2 linked regions of the Alligator mississippiensis genome follow. The main gene of each other region encodes a partner of the protein of the gene in region 2 in a complex. Links are inferred from orthologs where the notes say so. Each region holds a gene or a part of one and is shown on either strand. Other genes may lie near its edges.

What was found.
Region 1: the proteins of MCHR2 (region 2) and PMCH are in contact, whole or in part, in a cryo-EM structure (PDB 8WST), measured with the Homo sapiens proteins. The link is inferred for Alligator mississippiensis from reciprocal best matches to the Homo sapiens genes MCHR2 and PMCH. Residues at the interface, in NP_001035269.1 of Homo sapiens: His82, Gln92, Trp93, Gly96, Gly97, Thr110, Asp113, Gln117, Ile175, Phe177, Val181, Ser183, Cys184, Ala185, Phe186, Leu188, Thr189, Ser190, Pro191, Val194, Tyr197, Thr198, Tyr267, Gln271, Asn274, Met277, Glu278, Gln279, Pro280, Phe284; in NP_002665.2 of Homo sapiens: Leu151, Arg152, Cys153, Met154, Leu155, Gly156, Arg157, Val158, Tyr159, Arg160, Pro161, Cys162, Trp163.

Annotation. Positions count from the first base shown.
Region 1 is NC_081827.1:107,277,148-107,283,484, reverse strand, and holds PMCH (pro-MCH), read right to left. Parts: upstream 2,109-6,337; 5' UTR 1,984-2,108; coding exon 1,738-1,983; intron 1,184-1,737; coding exon 979-1,183; intron 706-978; coding exon 656-705; 3' UTR 532-655; downstream 1-531. Other genes in the region: PARPBP (PCNA-interacting partner), read left to right, coding at 1-274. UniProt on the Homo sapiens protein: MCH may act as a neurotransmitter or neuromodulator in a broad array of neuronal functions directed toward the regulation of goal-directed behavior, such as food intake, and general arousal. May also have a role in spermatocyte differentiation.
Region 2 is NC_081824.1:85,931,324-85,938,884, forward strand, and holds the start of MCHR2 (melanin-concentrating hormone receptor 2), read right to left. Parts: upstream 3,033-7,561; coding exon 2,991-3,032; intron 2,850-2,990; coding exon 2,762-2,849; intron 1,601-2,761; coding exon 1,549-1,600; intron 212-1,548; coding exon 29-211; intron 1-28. UniProt on the Homo sapiens protein: Receptor for melanin-concentrating hormone, coupled to G proteins that activate phosphoinositide hydrolysis.

The sequences.
Region 1 (6,337 bases), on a different chromosome or scaffold from region 2:
TGGAAGTAAAAGTAAAAAAGAAGATGCAAAGCTGAGCTGTCAGCTAAGAAACAAGAGCACAAAGAGGAAACAAGTGGATCTGAATAAAGAAGTCATCTGTAATAATGATAATGAACCATCTCAGGATACAAATATTAAGAGACCTAAGACTTCAAACAACCCTCAGAAGAAATTGGACAGCAAATTGGATAGAGCAGGAAAAAGCAACAAAACTACAGCCAAGACTAAATTGATTTCTGGTCAGGCAAAATTAACTCATTTTTTTAGATCATGAATCTTATTTTTATTTTGACACATATAATTGTTTTACTATTACATAATAAACATGGTAAGTTTTGCAAGAACAAGACAACAGATGCACAAATACCTTGACTTCATTGTGTATGGTAATGTGAATAGCATACATATACTATTAAACAAATATATCTACAAATCTGAATATGCAGAATTTTCTGTTTTAATAATGATACCACATCATTTTTACAGCTAGGTTACTTGATGATCATTGAAAATGTTTCCCTCACCTTGAAATACAGAGACTAGTACCTAGATTTAAGTGTATAACAATAGCAAAACACAATAACTTCACGTTTCATTAAACTGGCAACCAAATAATTTAATCTCCTTCAAGGAAAGTGAGGCTGGCCAGCAATTTTCAGACTTGCCAACAAGGTCGATAGACTCTTCCCAACATACACCTGAGTACTGAAAAAGAAAAAAAACCTCCAAAAGTTTAAATTGTAAAAATTGGGATATATTATAGTGACATCTAGCAAGATTGTTAATTTTTAACAAATAAATATACCTGAAATAGTCCAACTAAATATTTAATTTGATTATATCTATTAACACATTGTACATTGATAAACACTAGCACATAATTTCCAAATTTCCTTTTTCAAACATTTGCAAGTATAATCTTATTCAACTAAACATATATACTGCATTACGTCAAAGTTAAAGTGCAAGTATACTTACTGTCAAAATCTCTCCTTCCTATAGGAAACTTAGCAGAATTTTCTTCATCACCAACCTCTCTTCTTTCCTGTATTGATTTAGTATTCTTTATTTCGGTGTCAGCTGGAAAAGCTACTGATCCCTTCAGGGCAAGATAAGGTAGCTGTTTTATAGCCAGGTTCAGCGGCAGACTGTGGCTTATGAAATTATGTTTGGAACCTATATTCTGGATTTTAAAAGGACTGATTAAAATTTTAAAGACTGTTACCATTGTGCTTAGACTTCATCAAGAAAGTAAGTAGTGCAACTGAAGATGATCTTTAAAAAGTAAACATCATCATACAATAGATGTTAATTGAATACTGTTGTATTTTAAAAAGCAAGTTAATAGAATATGTGTAATCAACCTAATTGTTTATTATGGTTGTAAACCTCCTTCATATACCAACTGGCTGAGACCAGAATATGCATTATTAAAAAATAAAAAAGAAAGAAAAAGAGAACTACATAAAGTAAGCTGAATTCGACCCCCCGACATACACATAGTCCTGATCACCTACATATCTTTTTAGAATAAGATACCTTTTGTTACCCAAATACAGATTAATATGCCTAATATTAGATGCATGCAATTAAAAATTAGCCTATGAACATACACTAAATTGCAGAAATGAGTGATTGCAATTATCTGCCAAAGCATCCTTTATAAGTGAAAAGTATTTATCTCTTAAAATGAGTCTTTATTTACATTTTGGAGTTGATTAAGAAACGGAAACTCACAAAGAACTTTGGGTTTCTGTCTTCCTCTTCATCCTGAAAACTAGCATCTTCCATCTTATAGTGCTCAAGAGGTGTACCCCCTGTCTTCTCTGTTTTATCTCCATTCCGCAGAGATTTTCCTAGAGTGAAGGTGTTTAGTAGCATGTCGTCATCTTCTACGTTCTGCAGAGACTTTGAAACTGAAAATAGAAAACCTTGGGAAAGAAGAGAGAAAGTTAGTATTAACATGTAGGATGAGAAACACATTCTTAGTTGCTTAAAGTTGGCATAGAAGTTAAATGGCTTCAGAGATTTAAGACGGGTTTCCCTTGCAAATTAACATGGTCTCCAGCTATGCCTATCCTTATATATTTCACAGAGTGAATAGAAACCACTTCAGTGGCTTATGAGTTCATCCTTTATGAGTGACTCATAATAAAGAGGATAACCTTTTGTATAGTACTTGTAATGCCATATGCTACTTAAGTATATTTTCTTTTTTTAACATGGATAATTAGTTTCTTTGTAGACTTTTAGGGCAGTACAGCTTAGTAGTTTCTTTTAATGGATCAATTTAACAAAGTCACAGGATATAATCTCAATTTATGGTCCTGATTAAAGCAGGCCTTAATTTCCACTTAAGTAGTTTTAGAAAAGAACTAATTTACACATGAGAAATGCCATCCATAGAGTAATTTTGTTTTAAAGATTAGTAATATTATATTTTAAAGTAGAACTGACTTTTTAAAATCACTTTTAAACGATGTAATTGAAAATGTTAACAATTGGCAATGACTTTACATTATCTTTGGCTTAACAGAGGTAAAGCTGAAACCTTTAATGAATTTTTTATGTCCTGTATATATGATACCTTTATATAAAGTTATCAGTTAGAAATCCTCACTGATGCCTTTGTTACACTTGTTAGACTTTGAAGCTGAAAGGAGAACAGTATCCCAAAATCTAGCATCATATATTTAGGTGTTCTGTCATTTTGGATGTATCAAAAATTCTTGCCCTCTCTCTCTTCCTCTAAACAAAGAAATTCAAGTTTTACTTAAAATTTACTCTATTTTCAAATAGAATTGATTTTTTTCAAAAGGTAGAACCCTATAATAAAGTATTTTGTTCAGAAACAGGATAATGCTGTAGAGGAGGATTTGTTGTTGTTATTATTTTTAGGGATTTTTCCATATTATCCTACTGGAGCAGTGTGGTGTCCCCTGTGGGAAAAGTGCATGGAACCTCCCCAATCTTAGCATATCCCTTTTTATAAAACAAAATAAAAAAGTGACATCAGAGCCAGCTGTATAGTATGGCTGTTTATCTTTGCACTGGTTCTGGCTCCCACATTTATTCTCATTCCAGAGAGAGTGTGAGTTTGTCCAACTAGTAGGAGAACCTTCCTAGACTGTCAGGAACCTGGCCCAAGCAGCCAACTAAGCACAGAGTGAGAACTGTCCTTTTCATCTTTTCTAATTTTCTTTTTATGTACCTTTTTATGCATCCTCATACTTTAGGTAAAAGTTACTTTTGCATCAAACAGCTACAGTTCTTTCTTGCACTATATATATTTTTTTTTTACTTATGAGTAGGTAGCATCTGAGATAATCCATTGGCAGCCTTTCCAGCACTGGGTTGGTTGGTACCAAGGAGACATCTGGACTTGTTCATATCTGTTTAGATATAATTTACATTGTGTTAGGTGTTCTGTTTTAACCACTCTGTGCACATAGTGGGCTTAACAACGCCAGTATGCAGATTTTCCTTACGTCCACTTAAATTACACTTCTGAAAAATGATTTTTTTCCACGTAAGAGCCTGAGATTAAGTGCCAGTTCATTTACTTACATGTAAAGGTACTTTAGAAAATATCAGCTCTTGTGTTTTGCTTTCATTACTATTAATCTTTCTTAGTGGTTGTTTAGTGGTGTCAAGAGGTCCGCTGGTTCTCATTTTTGGTGGGCTGGTTCCCATTTTGTAAGTGCTGTATACGCTTAAGATGAGAGATCCTGCCCCCAGAAGTTTACAATCAAAATAAAGACAAGGTCTGACAAGTGAATGTAGAACAGAATGAAGTAGGACCTGGGTAAGATAAGAGCTGATTATCAGGAACACAAGTTTACATACTTTACTCAGGATAAAATGAGGTGTTATGCTGCTTTGTTTAAATCAGTGGTTTGTGACCTTTTTTTGAAATTGAGACACCACTCACTGTATTTGAGGCAGTCTTCATTGGACTTAAGACACACCTCTGTAACTTTTTTTAATTGAGTGGCACCCAGTTTCCAAAACTAATTTATATATTACAGGGCTTACTTCCTTGCAGAAAGGCTGGGCAGTGAGGGTGGGGAATCATCCAGGCAAGAGACAAGCCTGACCCTGTGCTTGGTGTTTAATTCATCTGCTTATCTCCTCACATGTTGCAGTATCGTTCAAAGGATCTGATGGAACCTTGGTAGAGGATCACTGGTTTAAAAGGACAAGATGATAATGAATAGGTCGCTTGCCTAGGCACTGCTAGGCAGTTTAGCATGTTTGCAATGGTGGGAATTTGTCTTGCAAGACTTCTGAAGTGGCTTTGCAAACTGGAGGTAGGTTTTGTGTGGTTAAGCTGCAGTATGAAAATAGATACCAAAGTACTTATGAAAGAAGCAGGCAAGCAGACAATGGAGACAGCCGTTGCATTTTCAGTCAAAAGCGACCATGATAATGAGGACTTAAAGGCTGGATAAAATGGGAGAAAGTAACTTATGAAAGGCCTTCAAAATAAGGATAAATTTGTATTTGGGCTGGAGACTGGAGCTTGTGAAGGACTCAAAGTTTGAATCGGTCTGAAAGACTTCCAGACAAAGTCTAAATCTCTCTGTCTGTCTATATTGCAGTCACATGTAGACTTAATTAATATGTAATAGCTAAGTAACTTGGATACGAATATCAGGGTAGCTACCACATAGTGTAACTTGGTGTGAAATAACCGTCTTGGTATAGAAAATTTGTTGGGTTGGGTTTTTTTTAGGTGAGTTTTTCATTCTGTACTGCCACAGTTGCACTATTGTCTATTTGCTCAGTCTCATGGGTAAATTTTTTTTTTCTTTTAAGATTTTCAATCCATCATTTGGTTTTCAACTTTTTGTTCTGATCAAATTTAGGAAATGTAAGCAGAGGTGCAAGAAAGCTTATTTTAAACACTTAAATTTTCTTTTTCTGTTTTCTGTTTGTTTTGTAATAATATTTTGAGTCAAAACAAAAATAGCTCTGAAGCAAGTTTATAAAATTCCGGGTCTACAGTCCTTGCATGATTAGGGCAGGGAAACCATCTTGTGTTTGAGCATCCTGAAGAAAACGAAAAAAAATACTTATCTCTATATTGGAAGGGGCACTTTACTCCCTTCTGTGATATTATTTAGATAACTTCACTTAGCATTGTGATATGGGGCCCTCTGTTATCTCAGAACCATGGTTGTGTTGCCAATTCAGTGAATGCTTGTTTTCTTTCAGATCCAGACAGTCTAAAATGAGACTGCTGCTGCCTCCTTGGCTAACTGTTCAATATCACCCCTCGCCCCCTTATTTAATTTTTAAAAAATTTTTCCGTGGTCCAAGACAAATCAGCCAAATCAATTCCAAATCCATGAGTCAGTCCAGAACCATAAGTGGCTGTACTACCAGCAGATATCCTCCACCCTCATCTGGGGATTCAGATGTTCCCAAATCCTTTGGCGGGCATCCTACATGCAGGCCCAGTCCCAGAGTTTTGGGGTTTGGATGCCCCCGAGTTCCACTTGCCCTCAAGCCATATGGCTGCAGGAGCAAACTAGGGAAGAGTCTCCCACTTCCATAAAGTGGGCATAAAGCCAAAATCTCTCCACTCCAGCAGCTAAGTGGAAGGTTAACTATGCATTACCTTTGCCGGTACTACTGCACCCCTTCACTCTCTAGTACTCTTCACTGCAGAAGTGTCTGAGCTTCCCCTTACTGCAAAAGGGCTGGGAATCTAGCAGCCAGCCACTTGGAGAGGGTGAGGCACAGACTTTTAGCCTGTAATGACTAGCTGGTTTGTAAACTCTGGCCCATGCCAGCAAAAGGCTGCCGACCTCTGTTCTACATTGTTGCTAATACAGAGTGAGGTGGAGACTGCAGAATGGTGCCCATGTGGCTTTGCACTTCTTAGATTGCTATGCGGCATTACTGGCATTTCCTGTATCAGTGTGTTGCCAGTCAAGGACAGCCCCAAAATCAGGCCTAATCAGGACAAAACCAACTGTGACTTCTGGCTGGTTGAGGACATAGATGACATGTAGCAGGGGCATGTGCCCCCCCCCCCCCCCCCCCGAAATTGGCCCTCGCCGATTAGAATTTCCAAACAGTATTGCTAAAGAGTTCTGTTGCTACATATGTATATAAAATTAGATAGCATCCCAAAATGTGGTCATTATAGATCCTAGAGAATGCATGGTTTACTTCTACTTGGTGCTATGGCCATTTAGGACAGCAGCCTCAAACTCAGTGTATGTATCTCTGTATCTGGGTTAACTAGCAATCTAACAGAAATTATATTTTTTCCTTTGTTCTTGAAATGTTCCAGTTCTAGAAAAAAATGCAACTGTCCTATATAATA
Region 2 (7,561 bases):
GTTGCATAACGTATGCTATATTCCATACCTTATTATAGTGATCACAATGAGGATATTTCCAATGAAACCAGTAGAACAGATAATCCCAATTAGAGAAGGAAGGATAATTGTTTCTGCTGCACTGATCACCTGATAGTAATGACCTCCACTCCAAGATTTGTTAAACAAGTCAGGTGTACTATTCCAACAGGCAGCCTGAATTTCATTCGTTCTTCAGAGACTTTGGGTCTTTAAGTCTGCAACAGCAACAGAAAATAAATTATTCATTGAATCTTAAAATTTGAATATGATTAGTCAAGCACATTATCTTGGCATACATTATTTTTAATAATAATCTGAATCTTCTGAATGTAATCTTCTAACTGATTGTGTATTTTCATTAATGGACCCATAAGAGTTGGATCATATTATTTTGAAAAATAAATACAGATTCATACTGTGTAAGTAGAGCCTTGACTTCAGCATGGATTCACTTAACTTTTGATCACCTGCCCTAGGGCAGTGATTCAAAATGGCCTAGAGAGGCACCTGGGATACCCAGGTAGTCAATGGAGAGACTTTGGAGACATGCATGGATGGAGACAGATGCTGCCTTTGTGCCTTTGTGCAAATTTTTACAGCAGCACAAATGCCTAGCAAACAGATATCTATGCCTTTTGTCACATCACAGATGCCCAAAATTGTGGCTGCAACAAAAGGTAGCATACATTTGTTCTGTTTTATTGTGGCAGATGTCTGTCTGCTTTATGGCAGAAGAGTGGAAGTGCTGAGCTACTCCCACTTTCAAACCACCACAGGCAGATGTGGGGCTCCAGGGCCCTGATCCTGCATGCCCCAAGAATTCCCATTTCATTAATAAAATTATTGAATAGTACTAACCCAAGACATATTCCCATGCTTGGGGAACACAGGATTGGACCCTGGAAGCCAGGGTAGTGTCTGTCTGGGTTCTCTGTTTGCAGATGTGTGCTTCTGAAATCCAACAAAAGGAGATTTCTCAGGTGTAAGTATTGCCCAGACATATCCCAGCTTGGGGCACACTTCTGCATATGGGGAAACCTGTCTGCAATACACATGCCTAGGGAATAATCTCTGTGAGTGGCAGAGGCCCAGCTATGCAGGCCATTTATGCATTATCCCATGAAGCAGATCAGCTGTGCCAGGACACATCCCAGCACAGCTGATCCACTTCATTTGGCAATGCCTGTTTATAGCTTATAAGACACTGGGGTATAAGTGCCTCCATGTTACATACAGAGAATGGGTAGTGTAAAGTACCTCTAAAGTGCAATTCAGAAGCTTGGAAGAATGTAGAAATAGCTAGCTAGGACTGCTAATGTACAGGAGTATGTCTGAATTCCCACCCTCTCAGGAGCTTATATACCTGACTCTTGCTATCTGCATTTCCATTTACTTGCAATTCACAATGCATCAATCCACTTTTTGCACTTCTGGGTAAGTTTCTGGAGGTAGGCGATTCATCCTTATGTAGCCTGATAGTTCAAATGCAAGATCTACCAGAATGAGTTAACCAAGGGCACACACTACTGTTCAAGTTGAAGCTGAGCCAGTGGGGAGCCAAAATGTAAGAGGTATGGTTCTAGAATGAGGAAAACAAGCCAGCTTATTAGGGTAGGCCCTTGGAAAGGAGTCCCCCATTCAAGCTGCCAGGCTTAGTTACATTTTTTTAACCAATCACTGTCCAATATAAAATGTACAAACGGTACAGTAAGCAAGAGGAAATCTGTTAGCTTGGACAATTCTCAGGGAGGGAAAAAGATCCTTGGTCCTGGCCCCTGCTCTGCAGGCACAATGAAACTATCTACAGAAAGGGTAACACTGCTCTGTGTTGGAGACAGAGCATGTTTGATGTCTGGCCTGATGCTAGAATGAAGTCCTCCAGCATGAATGACTTGTGTCCCCCAGTGGCTGGGGGGGCACAGCGGTGGCAGGAGTGCAGTGGTGGCAGCAAGAGCAGTGGGAGCACAGTGGTGGTAAGCAGGGGAGCTCCCACTGCCAGTCCTGTCAGTGGTGGGGTGGGGGTGGTGAGCACTGACCAAGAGTTGATGACCACCCACAGCTGCTGCTGGAAGTGTTGGTGACACCTTTTTGTAGGGGGTGCACCGCCATGCGCAGGGGGTGAACCCCCTACAAAACTATTGTCTTAATTGAGGCCAAAAAGTTTGATTTTCAAGTATCCCACTAGGCAGAGACTCATTGAAAAATGCAACCCTAACTCTCCAAAGTCAGTAATAAGAAATCATTTTAAGTATTGTAGAACAGTTAAAGTCCACACTTGTGCTGTATGACTAGAGGCAAGAAGTTTCTAGAGGGTTTGAACTCTCAACCTTGATGAAGTCATGACCTACTTTTAAGGTCTGGGCATGCGCAGTGTATAATGGTAATGCAACTGTTTATCAATGTTGATATGTTAATTATGATAATGTTGCTTGTATTGGTTTGAAATAGTTTGAATTGATTGGTCCTTTTAAGTATTGCCCAGGTTTGAATTTGATTGGGTATTGTGCAAAGGGCGATGATTGGACCATTGGGTGAGTGACAGGTGGTGTGATTAGAAGACCATAAATCCTATCCAGAGCAGCTAGCAGGAGCTCTGTGTGCTCTGTGCACTCAGGTTTGGGCTGCACCTTGCTCTCACTCTGACTGGACAGTCCTGACTCCAGGCTCTTGGGGTGTGGGAATTTGTCAAGTTCAGGTTCCTTGCTGTGACCTGGTTGGGACTGAGCTCGCTGAGGCTTACCTGTCTCGTGCTCATTCCTTTGGGCTTCGGCTGAGGAAGCTGGAATTGGGTAAAGTATCACCCTTTCCGTATTGGAGGTGCCGAGTACCTAAGCAGGGAAAAGCTAGAAATCCTCAGGGACTGTCAGAGGGTTTCTCCTGCTGAGAAGGCCTAGGGTGTTCTTGCTGCCATCTGTGGTTTCTGGGGTGTCTGTGAAGTTGCACAGCAGTTAACTATTGTTTTATCTTACCGTGTTTTCCTTGTACTGTCCTTTTAAGGACAAAGCCCTCATGTTTGGACTGCAGGGTTCAGTTGCTTTGTGGCAGTTTTGCAGCACTGGGACTCCACGTTCTTTGCCATGTGGAGCCAGAGGCATTCTTGGTTCCTCTCCCTCCCCAGATGTGAGGTACAAAAACTATATTTGATTTAAAATGTTGGTGTTGTTGAAACTCAAGGTTCTGAGATCATTGCAACTGTAGTAATAAATAGAGAGAAGTGCAAAATGGAAGTGGACTTGGGTTCAGGAGTATCTCTCATACATTAAAACACATTCTTCCAGTTGTTTCGGCACCCTGTCCCCAAGTTATTGAAACCTGAGTGTCGCCTGTGTGACTACAATGGACAGTGTGGAAACTTTGGGTAGCTGCAGTGTAGATGTCCAGTATGGATCTGTTAGACAGCATCTACCCTTCATTGTCACTAAGGATTCCCGCAAAAGTCTTCTGGGGAGAAATTGGTTCTCACCATTGGGAATCAGTGTTCAAAGCGTACACAGTCTCTGCACAGAAAGTCTGGAAAGGCTTGCAAGGGAGTTTCCCCACGTATTGTCTGAGGAATTAGGAATTTACTCTGGTCCACCTGTGATGTTCCAAATGGATCTTGTGATAGCCCTGATCTTAATGAAAGCTTGGAATGTACCTTTCGCACTGCAGCTGAAAATTGATGCAGAATTAGATTGGCCTATCGTGCAAGGCCACACCAATTGTTCCTGTTTTAAAGCCTAACATCAGTGTTTACATCTGTGGGGATTACAAGCGCACTGTTAATAAAGCACTTAAGCAGGATCTGCACCCAGTGCCTGCCATTAACCAGTTACTGTCTGTTCTTGCAGGAGGGAAAGTTTTTGCCAAACTTGACCTTGCTCAAGCCTATCAGCAATTGATAGTGGATGACAAGGATGCTAAGGCCCAAACAATAATTACACGCTGGGGAGCGTTCCGTGTCAAGCGCCTCCAATTTGCAACTTCTGTGGCACCAGGTATTTTCCAGCGATTTATGGAAAAAATGCTAGCAGGAATTCCCAGGGTTGTTCCACACTTTGATGATGCGTTAATCATGGGGCTGTCTAGAGAGAAACTCACTAAGAGACTCAGAGGAGTTTTACAGAGATTCGATAAAGCAGGTATCAGAGTAAAAAGAGAGATGTCAACTTGGACTTTCCAATATCAACTTTCCGGGATATCAAATGGATGCTTCTGGCATTCACCCAGTTGAAGGCAAGGTAAAAGCAATACATGATGCCCCTACCTGACACCAAAATGCAGACAGGATCTTCAAGCATTCTTAGGACTTCTCAATTTTTATCACATCTTCTTAAGAGACAATCCCACCATAGCAGAGCATCTTCATCGCTTATGGGATAAAGGAGCTCAGTGGAAGAGAACTTGCCAGCACAATGAAGCCTTCTAGCACATCAAGAAATTACTGATATCAGACTCTGTCCTTGTTCACTAGGATGAGCAGAAGCCACTGTCCATTACTTGTGATGCCTTGCTGTTTGGTTTTGGCGCTGTCCTCAGTCACACATTGCTTGATGGCACAGACACACCTGTTTCTTTTTACTCTAGAACAGTGACTTCAACCAAGAGGAACTATGCACAGATTGATAAAGAAGCATTGGCAATCATTGAAGGAGTTAAAAATTTCACATTTACATTTATGGCCTCAAATTTGAAATCCGAACAGACCACAAACCCCTTCTTGGAATTTTTACTATGGACAAACCAACTTCTCCTATTTTGTCTGCCTGCATACAATGCTGGAGCACCATGCTAAATGCATATGGCTATACACTCATGTACAAATCTGGGAAAACGATTGCAAATGCTGATGCATTGAGCCACCTACCACTACAAATACCTGATTGTACTACTCCTCCACCAACGGAAGTCCTCATGCTGGAATCCATGCCAGAAGCCCCTCATCAGGTTGCTCAGATAGCAAGGATGACTGCAAAAGACCCTATCCTTGCCTTTGTTCTCAACTGGATGTGGAGGGGCTGGCCTGCAGACAAATTGACTGAGGAATTCAGGCCATTTTCATAACATCAGCATGAGCTGTCTGCCCACAAGGGTTGCCTCTTGTGGGAAAATCATGTCGTAATTGCAGAAGCAGGACACCAAATCATACTGACAACATTGCATGCAGCACACCCAGGCATTGTGAGGATGAAAGCAGTGGCTAGAAGTTATGAATGGTGGCCAGGTATGGACAATGACATAGAACGGGTTGTGAGGGAGTGCAGCACTTGTCAAGCAACCCATCATAATCCACCGAAGGCACCAGTATTCCCTTGGGAATTGACAAAGGAACACTGGTCATGCATCCACATTGATTTTTCTGGCCCTTTTCAAGGTAAGAACTTTTTAATTGTTGTTGACTAGTACTCAAAATGGCTTGAAGTTATTACTGTCTCAACTCTTACATCAACTGCCACTATAACAGCTCTCTGTCAGCTGTTTGCAACCCATGGGGTGTCTGACACTATCATTTCTGATAATGGCAGTGCATTCACCTCATCAGGGTTCCAAGATTTTGCCAGCCACAACCTCATTCAAACTGTTGCCATTGCACCTCTCAGGCCACAGGCTGATGGGAAGCTGAGCAAATGGTGCAGACCACACAAGATGCATTGAAAAGGATCATTGTAGGAGACTGGCCTACCAGATTGGCCAGATTTTTGTTTGCTCAACATGTAATTCCTTGCCCTACAACAGGGTCCAGCCCATCAGAGCTTCTTATGGGCCATCGTCTCAAGACATGCCTTAACCGTGTTAACCCAGACCTTGTGAGAGACATGCAGTTTCAGAAAGAAAAGGAGTTGGACTCCACATTGGCATCTGGTACCTTACGTTTTTTCATTCCACAAGAGACTGTGTTTGCTCGGAACTATGGGACAGGCCCACAGTGGTTTCAATCTAAAATTGTAAGCGCCACAGGACCCATATCATATATAGTCCAGACTGATGATGGATAAGTTTGGAGATGTCATGTGGACCATCTACGTGGGCATTCTCCTACTGATAACCCTTCACCTGAGCAATTCCCAAGCACCAATCCACCACTGATAGACATGGATTCACTGGGGAAGTGCCTACCTGTTTCCACCAGTGCAAACCCTTTGCCATCATCACCAGAAGAAAGCATCACTGTTGAGTCTCCAGATAGGCTGACAGGGCTATCATCTGCTGAACCCCTCCCTGAGTCCGGTTCTATGGGAAGACCACAGCGGAAGTGGAGTCCTCTCAAATGGTTGGCCGACTATTCTGTCTAGGGGGAAGGGGTGTTGTATCTTATTGTGTTTTCCTTGTACTGTCCCTTTAAGACCAAAGCCCTCATGTTTGGCACTGCAGGGTTCGGTTGCTTTGTGGCAGTTTTGAAGCACTGGCACTCCATGTTCTCTGCCATGAAGAGTCAAAGGCAATCTTTGTTCCTCTCCCTCCGCAAGACTGGACTGGGTTAAGTCAGAGGCAGAGCAGGCATAAGATCAGCATACATCTACTGATGCAACTGTTAAGATCCACCCTGGATATGATTCTAGAGAGTTATAATAATAAATGACTGTTAGTTCAACACAGGAGTGTCCAGAGTATTGTTGCTGAACTCACAACATATCAACTGTGTAGTGACCGAAGCTCATTGTAATGTGTAGTTGATTAGTTGTGTGGGACACTGAGTTTGGGATATGCATTGGGTTATTGTTCCATTGGGTGTCTTTTATTGTGTTGTGGCTCAGGTATTATGGAAATATTGCATCGGATAGTTGTTGCATGGATTTTGTTGTGTAATACAGCTTATATTGCTCAACCTACATATGTTATATTGTGTAGCTACTGTTCCTAACTCTGAGTGGGGTCAGGCAGTAAATCAATGCTCAGGGAAATTAACTTAAATTAATGCCCCGAACCTGACTACCTGTGGGTCATAGAGGATTAATGACCCTCTGGATTAATTAGTTAATTGGCATCCCCACGGGTGGTCCTTCAGTATCCAGTAGCATATTTATAACCAAGTTGATGTTTTTGTACAGGATGATAAGTAACCATCTTTTCTAAAAATTAGTTGAGATTTGTCTAAAAGTGTTCGTATAGGCATATAAGAGCTGTTGATATGTACTATTTTAGTCATACAGGCCTGAATACTATCAGAAAGTATATCATTATTGAATATCTATATCTATATCTATATCTATGTATAGATATATATAATTAACTCCAGAAAAAAGGACTATTTCACTTTAACATGAAACAAGATTAAGTGTCATGCTATTTTGAGAGCATTGAGCAAAAAATGTTGACTGGATGTGATTAATAGATGGCTTGTAGTGTCTATTGTGATCTGCAGCCCGATGCCAACAGCTGGTGCCAAAAAATGATGTATTGCAAAATTCACCTTAATGCATCATCATACTCGTGGTGTTTCTCTTTTTGTCACTTTACCCACATGACACAAGTGATTTACTTTGCCCTGTGCGTTGTCCAGGCATCACACCAGGTTAAGGGTTAATTTGGGTCTAGGGGTAAACTAAGTCAGGAAGCCAAA